Arabidopsis thaliana: one gene and its partners. The protein of the gene in region 3 interacts with the protein of the main gene of each other region in a pairwise test. Each region holds a gene or a part of one and is shown on either strand. Other genes may lie near its edges.

What was found. Proteins that work in one complex are often made in the same cells at the same time.
Region 1: the proteins of PTF1 (region 3) and NF-YA4 interact in binary tests that used the Arabidopsis thaliana proteins (3 or more experiments, as listed by UniProt).
Region 2: the proteins of PTF1 (region 3) and IAA34 interact in binary tests that used the Arabidopsis thaliana proteins (3 or more experiments, as listed by UniProt).

What each region holds. Positions count from the first base shown.
Region 1 is NC_003071.7:14,649,173-14,653,263, forward strand, and holds NF-YA4 (nuclear factor Y, subunit A4), read right to left. Parts: upstream 2,538-4,091; 5' UTR 2,392-2,537; intron 2,130-2,391; 5' UTR 2,084-2,129; coding exon 2,056-2,083; intron 1,964-2,055; coding exon 1,848-1,963; exon of another isoform or gene 1,502-1,847; coding exon of another isoform or gene 1,463-1,501; coding exon 1,379-1,462; intron 1,291-1,378; coding exon 1,126-1,290; intron 1,050-1,125; coding exon 846-1,049; 3' UTR 534-845; downstream 1-533. UniProt on the Arabidopsis thaliana protein: Stimulates the transcription of various genes by recognizing and binding to a CCAAT motif in promoters.
Region 2 is NC_003070.9:5,181,458-5,185,044, forward strand, and holds IAA34 (indole-3-acetic acid inducible 34), read right to left. Parts: upstream 1,957-3,587; 5' UTR 1,787-1,956; coding exon 1,700-1,786; intron 1,573-1,699; exon of another isoform or gene 1,551-1,572; coding exon 1,397-1,550; intron 1,289-1,396; coding exon 1,148-1,288; intron 1,048-1,147; coding exon 939-1,047; intron 866-938; coding exon 799-865; 3' UTR 534-798; downstream 1-533. Other genes in the region: AT1G15060 (alpha/beta hydrolase family protein), read right to left, coding at 2,596-2,655, 2,772-2,872, 3,134-3,304, 3,506-3,587. UniProt on the Arabidopsis thaliana protein: Aux/IAA proteins are short-lived transcriptional factors that function as repressors of early auxin response genes at low auxin concentrations.
Region 3 is NC_003074.8:389,034-393,297, reverse strand, and holds PTF1 (plastid transcription factor 1), read right to left. Parts: upstream 2,579-4,264; 5' UTR 2,055-2,578; intron 1,802-2,054; 5' UTR 1,777-1,801; coding exon 709-1,776; 3' UTR 531-708; downstream 1-530. UniProt on the Arabidopsis thaliana protein: Plays a pivotal role in the control of morphogenesis of shoot organs by negatively regulating the expression of boundary-specific genes such as CUC genes, probably through the induction of miRNA (e.g. miR164).

The sequences.
Region 1 (4,091 bases), on a different chromosome or scaffold from region 3:
AGTGAAATGATTATGCTTAGTGGATAAAAAAAAGTGGTAAACTAAGATTATTCTACCTTCTTCCCAAAACGAATCCATTTGGTCGCAGAAATCAATGTTTCAAATTCTATCCCAACACATCTAACCAATATATCATCAATGGAATGGTGAAATATGGTCTCTTTGTGAATATAAGAAAAAGGCTAAGTTTATATGTGGTAAAGAAGATAATAATAAAATGGTGTAAACAGGTCTAAAGACTTGACAAAACTAAAACAGAGCTACAAGTCGAGAAAAGAAACAATACCTCGTATAAAAAGAGAATTGTGATTGTAAAATAATGTATGTCGTGTCATTCAAAATGTATCATCGGAAGAGCATATGGTCGGATATGCATGCAATGTGTTCATTAAAAATGAAAACGAGCCTAGTGATTGACCACATTATGAGATCGGAAGAATTCTTGTTTTACTTGTCTCCTAAATTACAACGTCAAATCCGATCCTGTAGAATGCATTTCATATATATAGAAGAATACCAATAAACAGTCTAGTCTAACAATGGACTAATCCACAGTGGTAGTTATCATCAGTGTTAGTTATCCTCAAAATCATAGCAAACAAAGCTAAGAACATTAATTTACTTTCCAAAACATGAGTTCATTGGCAAAGAATATCAATTTGGTACAACAATACTTCCAATCACACTTTTCATTTCTTTGCTTAGTTTTATTTCTAATCGCTAAAACAAAGTTTACCCTAGCAAATAACCTGTACACAGCGTATCCAAAAACACTAAAGACGATGATGCCCTGAGAACATCCACCCAAAATAGAAACTAAACTTGTGGTTGTGCAGAAACCTTCCTCAAGATCTACCATTAGGACCAGAAGTAGCCATAGCTAATTTCTCGGACCTGAGGCTGGAACTTGCTTCTGAAGTGTTCTCATCAGAGGTTGCCTCCTCCTCCTCCTTGTGGTCTCCATTTTCCTTCTTGGCATTGAGAAACCGGCCACCACATCCTCTTGGCCGTCTTATCGCATGTAAATGCCGAGATTCATGCATGTATGGCTGAAAACAAGAAATTACAACTTATTGGGAAGGATTCTACCAAACAAATTACAGCACTTGCCCGCCAGGATTTTACCTTTTTTGCTTTGATGGCTCTATTTCGTGCCTCAAGTTTTGCCCGGGATTGCCTGCGCCTGAGTATACCATGGTATTGCTTTGCGTTAACAAAAACAGGTTCCTCGACTGCATCACATTGCAATGGAACTCCTGGCTGCTGCATTCCCATTAACTGCAATTGGACCTGAAAAAAAAACTTTAAAAATAAAACAAAAGCTTTTCTAAATATTCCAAACCGGAGACGTTGGGGCTGAGTAATAAATAATACATACCCCAGGATAGGGATGTGGAAGATACGCTTGCTGTGCAAAGACGCTTCTGTAGTAAGGATCTGGATACGGGTATAATCCATGTGCCTTCAATACCAACACACACAAAAACAAAAACCGTATCATCTCAGGTTAAAAAGTTTAGCATTACTTGGAATCAACATTATCATTACACTGCATCTCAAGACTGATTTTCAAAGCAATCAAAGTTTACATTCGTACGAAGTCTAAAACTGCAGAAAGGCGATGATCCCGGGACTTTCTTGCTTGAATTATCTCAAACAACCAAGTTTTGGCATTGTAAGCATCAAAACAAAACTTTTAGCATTGAAAAAGAGAATCACAAGCAAACATATTATAACCGAGAGCAAGATCACACAGAAACTAAACCAAATATCATATAATCGAAATAAAGATCACTCATTGAATGTAGCCTGCACAAATAGTTGAGATTTTGGCTGAGAGAAATTACCATGGGCTCTGAGTAGACAGAGTTTGTATCAATAGATTCCGAACTTCGTCCTGAAGGAACCTGTGGTCGGGTTTGGGAATCTGGACGTTCTTTCTTCGCATGACTTTCATTGTTATCTGACCAGCAAAACATACCACCAAGAATCAGTTAGGAAGATACAACAATAAAACGAGAGCATAATGAAAATGGTCAGAAAGAGAGACAAAACCAGAGAGCTCATGTACTGAAGAAGTCATGATTCATGAGAAGACTGTCCTAGTTACAAGTCTGAGGAACAACAAACTGAAACAACAACAAAGCACAAAAGTCAGTACCAAAGCCAAGAGTTTGAGAATCGGAATTCACTAAACCAAAACCCCAAAATCAGAATTCAATCACAACCCTAGAATCTAAAGCAAACCCAGAACAGAGAAAAACCAATCTTAACCTCTACTATCACATCTCAACATACATAGCAAAAGCATTTTCCCGGAAACGAGTAGATACAGAACAACAAAAGCTAGAAACTTTCAAAATCTGGAGGGAAAGAAACATAAGAATTTACCTGAATTATATAAAATAGTAAGCTGATTCAATCAATCTCTGGATCTTACCCTCAGAAAATTGTTAAAGGTCTCTCCTTTTTTGTTCTAACTAAGGAAGAGACGAAATGACTAACAGAGGCCTAAACGGCTAGACCCAAGAGGGACACACCATGTCGTTTTTTCAGTTCATAGCCTCCGTCCTTCTCTAATATTCATTAACATCGTGCCGTTTTCATGTTTTCCACTCACACTGTAGTGATAGGTCAACTCAGAACCACGAAAATGTGTAGGAGTGGTAAACGACACGATGTGCAACAGTGAAAAGGAGGCTAATACAATGAGGACAAGTGTCGAAACAACGATCGAGATTGTAGGAAAAGACGGGCAGATCTGAAAAGCTGCCCGAATATGTTATCGATTGTTCAACTCCACTAGTTTTGCCTGACCCTACTTGTGCCCGTTGCCCTCAAATATATCTTTCGTTGTGAGTCATCAAAGAAGCGTCGGTATCGAAACCGAAGATTCCGTTCGCTTTTGGTTTTGTTCGAATTTCAGAGACATTAAACCAGCTTTGGTATTTAGATTGGTTTGACTTCGGTTCAGTGACAAAACAAAACCTACTTAAACGAACGAGTGATGAGTGACTTCAGAAAAAAACAGTACATGATTCCATAATAAGTAACTTATTATTTATAAGTTTCCTAAAAATTTTGCCCAAAAAAAAAAAAAGAAAAAAAAAACTTTCCTAAAAAAGTATTTGCTAATTGCTTTGACTCGAAAAATAATTGAAAACTATCACTTATGTGTAAAAGACCACCAAAAGTTGTAACGCCTTTGATCACTTATACGAGGTCACAGTATTCGACAAGTAACTATAGGTCAAAATCAAGTAAGTATGCATTCGACAAGTAAGAAACGTTTAACGTAAATGAAGTGAGTGAGCAGTCATTGAACAACAAATTAGCGTTTGGAAATGGACGAAAACTAACTAGTAAACATGATTAATACACAAGTAAATGAAGTGACTGAGCAGTCATTAAATAACCATGCTTACTTAATCACCTATACGATTATATAGTCTGCTTTCATCCCTAAACTCCTTATCATCATGATTCTTGATTCGACACCTCAAAGTCCTCAAGTGCATGTCAGCACGTATAAAGTTATAAATATAAAAAAAAAAAAAAAAAGTTATAAATATCAAGCATAATTTAGCACTGAGATTAAAAGAGCATTCCTAACAAAACCAAAGATTATAAGTTCATGATATTGGAAAAACCCAACACAAGTTCATGTAATTAGGTTAAGTAGATGAGCAAGTAGTCTCTTATATATAATCATGTAGTGAGAACAGTGAGACTAACGTAGAGAGTTGTCACTTAACTCCATAGTCTATCCCCTTCTTTGAAATCAAAACTAAAGTCATTCTATTCTTGGGGACAATCTAAATCTTTTCCCCTCATACTTTTGTTTTGTGCAATAAGCTTAATGAGGTCTCTTATTTTCAGTTTTAGATTTCTATGTTAGTTCATTTGAGCACAAATCTATCCTAGTTTGGTTTTTCCTACAAAGATCGCCTCAAAAGAACGATTTTAGTTAATAAGACTTAAACCCCAACCATCAAGATCAAACCGTCATAATCTAGTTTAATCCATGATACAAAAAAAAAAAAAAAATACCACTTACACAAAGTAAAAGCAAAAGAAAAAGATAGAGATGA
Region 2 (3,587 bases), on a different chromosome or scaffold from region 3:
AAAGCTGACGCACACTTTTTATTATCTGTATACGTTTTTGGTCAAACCTTTCCTATTGCCTATTGGATGCTGAGATGGACTTCTCTGGATATTCCAAATTATTCCTTCTTTTGATTTGGTTATGTTAAACAAAAAAACGTTTTCTTAGTAATAAATGGATATGGATCAGATTAGGTTCTTAGGAGGATTAGATATGAATGGATGACTCATTGACTTGTAACAATATTAAGCATGCAGAGCATATACTGTATATGTCTTTATTTTATACTATATAAATGCATGTCTTTCTGTATTTGGAGGGTGTTGAATTAATTATGGAAATCACGTCATCCTAATCAGCCACCGGTTCAGTCACTCTTACGTGTAAAAGATAACGTCGTAGACTTTCAACAACTCCGTATGAATGAAAATGTAAGAAAAAAGATCGAGGTTGTCGCCGGAGTTGAGCTCTCTTGTCTTCACAAGGCCTTCGATATCCTACTCATTTTTCGTTTATGCGGATTATGAATTGAAAAGTATGAAAGATAAAATGGCAAATTCACCATCGTAATTACACCACTATATCTTAAAACTGGATGGTTCACAATATCTTCGTATCATGGTAAGACGAGAATCCAGACGTAACATATCGGAGCTCTAGTGATCAGGATTTCACCGAAAAAAGTAGTTCGTGGTTCTTTCTTTATTTCGAATATAATCGTATTCAAAGTTACATTTACCTTTTCTCTTTTGTTTCATTTCCGATTCAAGGCTGACTTGGAAATTATAACAAAGAGTGAAGAAAGAGAGAAGCTAATATTAAAAGGGAAGTACAGCATCGTTTCTTCTTGTGATTCTCAGCCGCTCCACGCTTTCTATGAACTCACTGTCATTTACAAATCACAACACATGTAAACGCTTTATTTCAGTAATCTACAAAGAAAGTATCAAGAGCTTACTTCCATGGAACATCCCCAGCATTTCTCCACAGACCTTCTTCGTCTCTGTAGACCAAACAGAACTCAGACTCCATCTGGAACAACCTCAATCCCGACACACTCTGCATCCCTACAGATTGTAATGAACATCCGGTATAAGCCTACTAGGAACATTACTACTTATAGTACTTACTCATCTTTGAATCCCAAGCTTCCCATGAAAAACTTACCAAACATGTCCTCGAGTTGATGAGCAAGAGTTGAATAGCTTCCATGATCAAGAACACAGACCTTGCGACCTACCACCAAACCATCCATGGTGACCTTTACATAACCCCACTTCCGTCTGTATCCTTCATTACTACAATATCCTTTGCCACATGTCATAACTCATAAGTAAACACCGTCTCAGAGTTGAAAAAATTTACCAAGAAATTAAAGGTAATGGAAATACTAATGGAAACGGCAAAGAAACTCACTTTGGCCAGATGAGTGGTAAATCTCATGTTGTATGGTTCTCAGGCTGAGACCTAAATCGATTACGCCACCAAACTCCGTGGTCTGCGAGTAATATGGATGATACTTGGGAGAATTTGGGAAAACACCGAGTGGGTCTGAGTCCATTGTTGGTTTCTATAACAAATACATATTCAGCACATAACAGATACATAGAAAGGTGAGAATGATGTTGATTTATATCAAGCAGCTAAGGCTAAGAGTGTCAGGAGAGTTAAGAGACATCATTGCAGACAGGGAACAAACAAAAGACAAGAACACATTACCTTCCAGGAAAGGATCAGTTTGTGGTCTTTTTGTTGTTTGTCTGATGCCACTAAGTGCAAGGGATGGGGAGGATCGCTGCAATACATCTGGTCAGCCAACACAAAAACCTGAAATTATCGTGAAGTCAGAATTGTACTATACTAATCACAGCAAGCACATCTCTATCTAGTGAAGTGTCTCAATGTTATCAGAGAGTGTTGACAACTCATTGTCTCAAGTCAAAACCTGTAATCACTCAACATCAAACACGTTACAAAAGAAATAGGTAAGTCGTGCTAGAGAATTCTGTACCATAGAGAATCCAACGAATTAATTTATGGACAAAGAAAGAGAAGAACTAGGTATGGTCTTACATGATGGTGGAGAGACAATATCTTTCATGAAAGAGAGCTCTGTTGTTTAATACTAGACAATTCAGATCTATCATTACATCATGTATCCCACACATTATCTGAGAAGTAGGGCTGTGTCATTAATGGATCTAAGACAGAAAATGTACACATAAATCCATGTCTATACAATTGCTCTCATGGATAACTCAAGTCCTCCAAAAGAAGCAAAGCAGTACAAGAGAACACACCAGTTCTTCTAAAGATAAATGTTCAAATAAAAAGCTCGTTGCCATAACAAAACAAGGGAAATCATCACAGTAGACAAGAGCTTCCAGCATCTCATTCGATGCTTTTCCTAATTTACAGGTGTATGACTTGAAAAAACTGCATCCTAAGCTCATGTACAGTTTGCCCAGATACTAAATGTACGTGTCTTAAACGGAAATGGCATCCTTTTTAACAGGCGCTTCTGAAACACACTTCTTCGACACCACCTTAGTGCGACGTCTACAATCTACATGTGCTATAGCATGCAAGGAACAGAAACTCCCGAAATGTTTCACTTATGCGGAATCATGGTGGCTAAGAAATTCAGTTATGCAAGGATAGACTTGCTCCACTGCCTGCAGTAAGTTGTCAGAGAAACGATTAACAAACGAAACAAGCATGCACATGATACAGCATTGAACAAAGTTCCAACATAGGAGGAGACCTAGAAATGACTGGGGAACAAACATACCAGTCGTCCTCCAACCAAATCATAGTGTGCATAATGTGGTCCATCTGGTTCTCCAAGTAACTTATAAGTGACCAAGTTCTCCGGAAACAGCTTAACAGTGTCTGCCATATTCACAAGCATTTGTAATTAGTCATAATGGTGAAAATGCATGTGTGAGTAGCTTAAAAATTTATTTGGTGTGTGTGGAAAGTATCACAAAAGTTAATCCATCTACGCCTTATACAGCCTCTCATAACTCGAAAGAATTCAGTAACAGCAATGTAGAATTTAAAATGAAATGCATATCTGGGTAAATGAATGGTTTCATGTATATGCTAGAGTCATCTATGCAGAATTTCATAATAAACATTATGTTAGTATACCTTCCACAGCCGCAGGGGGGCAGATCAAGTCCCGATCACCTGCAAGAGCTAAGACAGGGACACTGGTTCTGGGAAGATGATCCTTATAGTAAAATTTACCACTACGATCACGTAAGCCTCCCTCTCGAAAGGCCGTTGTCAGCTGAATAAGTAGTTTTGCAGGTATGGTACCTAGATGTAAGAAAACAAAGAAACTCTTGAAAATCACCATAAAGGGAGCAATTACGGATTGCAAAAAAAGTCATGGTACATTCAAGCATCTAATAGTAACTGTTCCAGCATTTTCTTTTTCTTAATGAAGATACGTTTCTTTTCCACTTAAAATACATTAAGAACTCACATACTTAAATGGGATCAACTGTTTTTACTTACAGAAGTTATTCAAGACAAGCTTTTCTAACATTTCAGGGTGCATCATATCTGTTGATGATATCAAATCATTAAGCCAAGATAA
Region 3 (4,264 bases):
ATCGAGACCATTTAGCCTAGCTACACATCTTAATTTTTATATGGGAATGGCTTCTTTGCATCTTGATAGTTTACTTACTATGCTAATAAGATTTTAAAATGGGCACTTGTATGTATAATAACCATTCATGATGAATTTCTATTTGATAATGGGTTCAATATATATCTGCTTCACATGACATAGTAATGTTAGGTTTGTTTGGGTTTTGTGGAATCTCCACTTATATCATCATCTAATAATCTATCTAGCTACGGTCACATTGAGTTCTATAGTTGCATTGTACCGTGCATCCAATAGAAACATAATACCTCGATAACAGATCAGTATAAATTATTAGATTCAATTTCATATTATTACGTTACCTATTGATGAATCTGATTTTTTTTTTTGCTAAATATTTGATGAATCTGAATGTAATTTAGCTTCTCATCTCAAAGTGCATACATTACTATCAGATACTTATAATACATTTCATGTATGTTTGTGTGTATTCAGATCCTATGAGGAAGCTATATATATATATATACATGAGAAAGTTTCAAAACACATGCTAATAGTAAATTAATAAATCAATTTATAACATTAATTTGTCTATTAAAAAATATATCAGCAAAACATAGTACAATAGTAATTACCTTATATTTTGTTTTGTGTCCCCTTATTTCTGAACACATCAAACAACAATTATATCGTTTCAATAATCTAACTTCACATATGGTGATCACTTCCTCTACTTGTACAACGCTCCGAGCCTAGATGCCTCGACATGTTAGCCGTTGTAGTGCTATTAGTTCGGTTGAATTGGACCGACGACATCCGATTATCAATGTCTCTACCACCATTGTTGCTACTACTACCATGTAACAACGAATATAATGTCGAAATGTTTTGGGAAGACGAAGATGAAGAATTACCCATTAATGGCATTTGAAAATGGCTTACCATTTGCCTCGGATCTAATGTCTCCATAGTCCCTGAACCAGCTGACGATGATGATGGAAACAAAGATTGTATAGTTGTAGTTGTTGGTGATGTCGTCATTGGACATACCAAAATTTGTGATGGAAATGGGACAAGACTATGTAGTTGATGACTATGATAATCTGCCTGTAAACTCAAATGTTGGTGATGATGATGATGATGTTCCAGGTTGTGATAAGTTCCATAAGACCCAACATGATGATTGTTTGTGTAAACGACATCGTTTTCTCCTTTCTCTCTATCGTTTTCTTCGCGGCTAGTAGTAGTAGACTTTTGTACACATCCATTGATTTTAAACCCGAGTTGGGTCGGATCTTGACCGGGCCGTTGACCAAGATTCAAGAAGGACTGATGATGGTTGAAGATGCTGAAATTTTCCGGCGAGATAGGTAACGGAGGTAGCTCGTCGATCTCCTCTTTAGCTGCATCAAGCAACCAGTCAACGGCTTTGCTAGGCTGGTCAACACCGAGCCGTTCTTGAAGATCGTAGAGCTGAATAGCCGTTGGGACTGATAATCTCACGCGTCTGTCACGTAGTCCACGTAACGTACACACTTTGCTGTGACGGTCTTTGCCTCCAAAGGCGCGTGAAACCCTAACAATCCTCGGATCCTTGGATTTCATCCACGAAGAAGAAGAAGAAGAGATCGATGTAGGCTGCTTTTTAATTACGGTTTTGCCACTGGTGGCTCTGACTTCGGTTTCTTCTTGATCCTCTTTTACTTCTCTTTCACGTCTTGTCGTAGCGCCGCCTGCAACTTCGTCGTTTGCATCTTTCCAAGAGACGATATTCATAATGCTATTCTCGAGATCTTTATATCTAATACAGAAAGAAGACCAAATGTATATCCATTAGCAGAAAACATAAGGGAATTATGGCAAAAGAATTCAAATAATATAGTTAATTTCTGAATCCTTTTAAAACGAGAGCGAATCCAGAAAAATGGAGAGAAAGTAGGAATTGTCTAAGAGAGAAAATTAGGGTTTAATTTAGCCTGTTTTCTTCAATCGACAAAATTCTTATAATCCGGACTGAAGAAGAAACAAAAAAAAAAACGTGTACTGTTTCTTACATGAGTTCCAAAGTTTTGTACGGTCTTGAGCTTGAACAGGAAATCTAGGGTTTTGCTGTTCTATAAAATGAGTAATATGATGAAGAAGAGAGAATGAGAAATAGAGAGAAGAAAGTATGTGATTCGACTTTTCTTTTCAAAAAGTATATGAATAAAATGAAAATAAGATAAAAAGAAAAAGAAAATTAGAAAGAAGAAGATGCTTTTGGAAGTGAATATGAGAACCCTACCAATATCATAAGCCTCCAAAATTTAGAAGAATTGCGACTTAAGTATTTATGTTAAAAAAAGCAATGGATGTAGTAATGCCACGTGGCGGATTTCGCTATCCTCGAAGGGAAAATAAAATGAATGCGCTGAATAATCAGTCAAGTTCATTTTCATCTTTAATATTATGGATCATATCAAATCTACATACGGAGGAGATATTAAACTCGAATATTTTATCATCCACGTATGTGATATGAGTTGCAGTTATAATACGGCTAAGAAGAAAATCCCAAAAAAAGTATACGCGAATATCTAAATTTTACAGAAATTTTAGATGCCAAAATCAAACATACATTGACGTGAAGTTATATATAATAGTAGCTTATTAGAACATCTAACCAATGTTATGAAAATAACGACATTTTAGGAATAATTATTGTTGTGAAATGGATGATGTACGATTATTGATGGAAAACGTATGAATTTTATCTCAATTAGCCAAACCATGATAATTTCGTGATTTTTTTTCTTTAATTGTCCACTGTAAATCTATTGGTAGAATTAAAAAGCCAAGACCTATATTATTTATGATCCTTGATTTTTTTTTTTGCTCTTTTCAAAAATATGTTTTGCAGCCGCCAATGCACTCGTGATATATTGAAATGAAGTTGGATCTATAATATTATGACTAGTTAAACACTTCATCACTTTCTTTTCTTAAAAAAAAAAATGAAACTACATCAATTATTAACCAGGTATTGATTTGTTTCATAACACTTCTATAAATGATAAAGATTAGACTTTAGAGTTCAGCGTAGCGTTTTCTTGATCATTTTAACTCATCTTTTAAATTGGATATCTTATGAATAATCTAATTAAAAGAATATGGTACATTATGTTTAAATTTAGTCCTTGGTTCTACAATATGAAATGTAACTCACATATATGGTAATATATAATATACACACAGTATATGGTCCATGTGAATATTGGCATGCTGTTATATCGACAATTACAAAAGGTTGTGGTTTACCCGATGCACGCCTTGTGTACCTTGTTGAGTCATGACTCATTACCTTTTCAAAACACAAGTACTTTAACTAGACATCACTAAGCCCTAATTTACTTTTGCTTCATATATAAAAATCAGTTTTAACATCTTTATTTATCGATAAGGTTGTGTTAACCTTGTGATTTTTCTTTATATAAGGATTTTTTTTTAATAAGATTTTCTATATTAGATCTAATGATGTATATATTATATTTAAATGTGTAATCTAATATAATTAATATGGACGGTAGGATATAAGAAGTAATATGATTTTGTTATTCGGATGCATCATCTGTGAAAAGGGGCACCTATATAATTCCCATATTACTAGTCAAACCATTCTTTTAGGTCAAACTTAATGTTCTAAGAATAATTGAGACGAGTATTTTTCAGAATTTCAAATCCATAAAACTAATAATAAAAAAGTATCCACATGATTGTCTTTTGAAGTATGCAACTTAATTAATTATCCATTCACAATAAGATTTGTACCCCTTTTTCAAATACATTTTAAATATCTATATGAATCAATAACATTCATCAAATTATTAATTTTATTAAATTGTACATTGTCTTTTAAATAAAGTGATATAAGAATATTAGAAGTGGACGAAAGCAATATATCCTTATGAATCGAAACAAAGGAGTAAGAGAAAAAGAAAGTGTGATGATGATCATTTTATCTTAAGACATCACATGGGAACAAAGGAGAAATCGGACAAACTTAGAATCCATTAAGTCATGTCTACTTCACCGACTCCAGAATTTTGTTGTCTCATGAACAAAGATTGGGGTTTTAATAGCTTTTCTATAGTATTTTCACATCCATAATAATAATTAATGATGTGAAGGATATATATATCAACGACAATAATATCCTAAAAATCATGTTAAAAGTTAAACACATTTCTCCATATTTGATAAATAGCAATCAATATCAGCGTATATA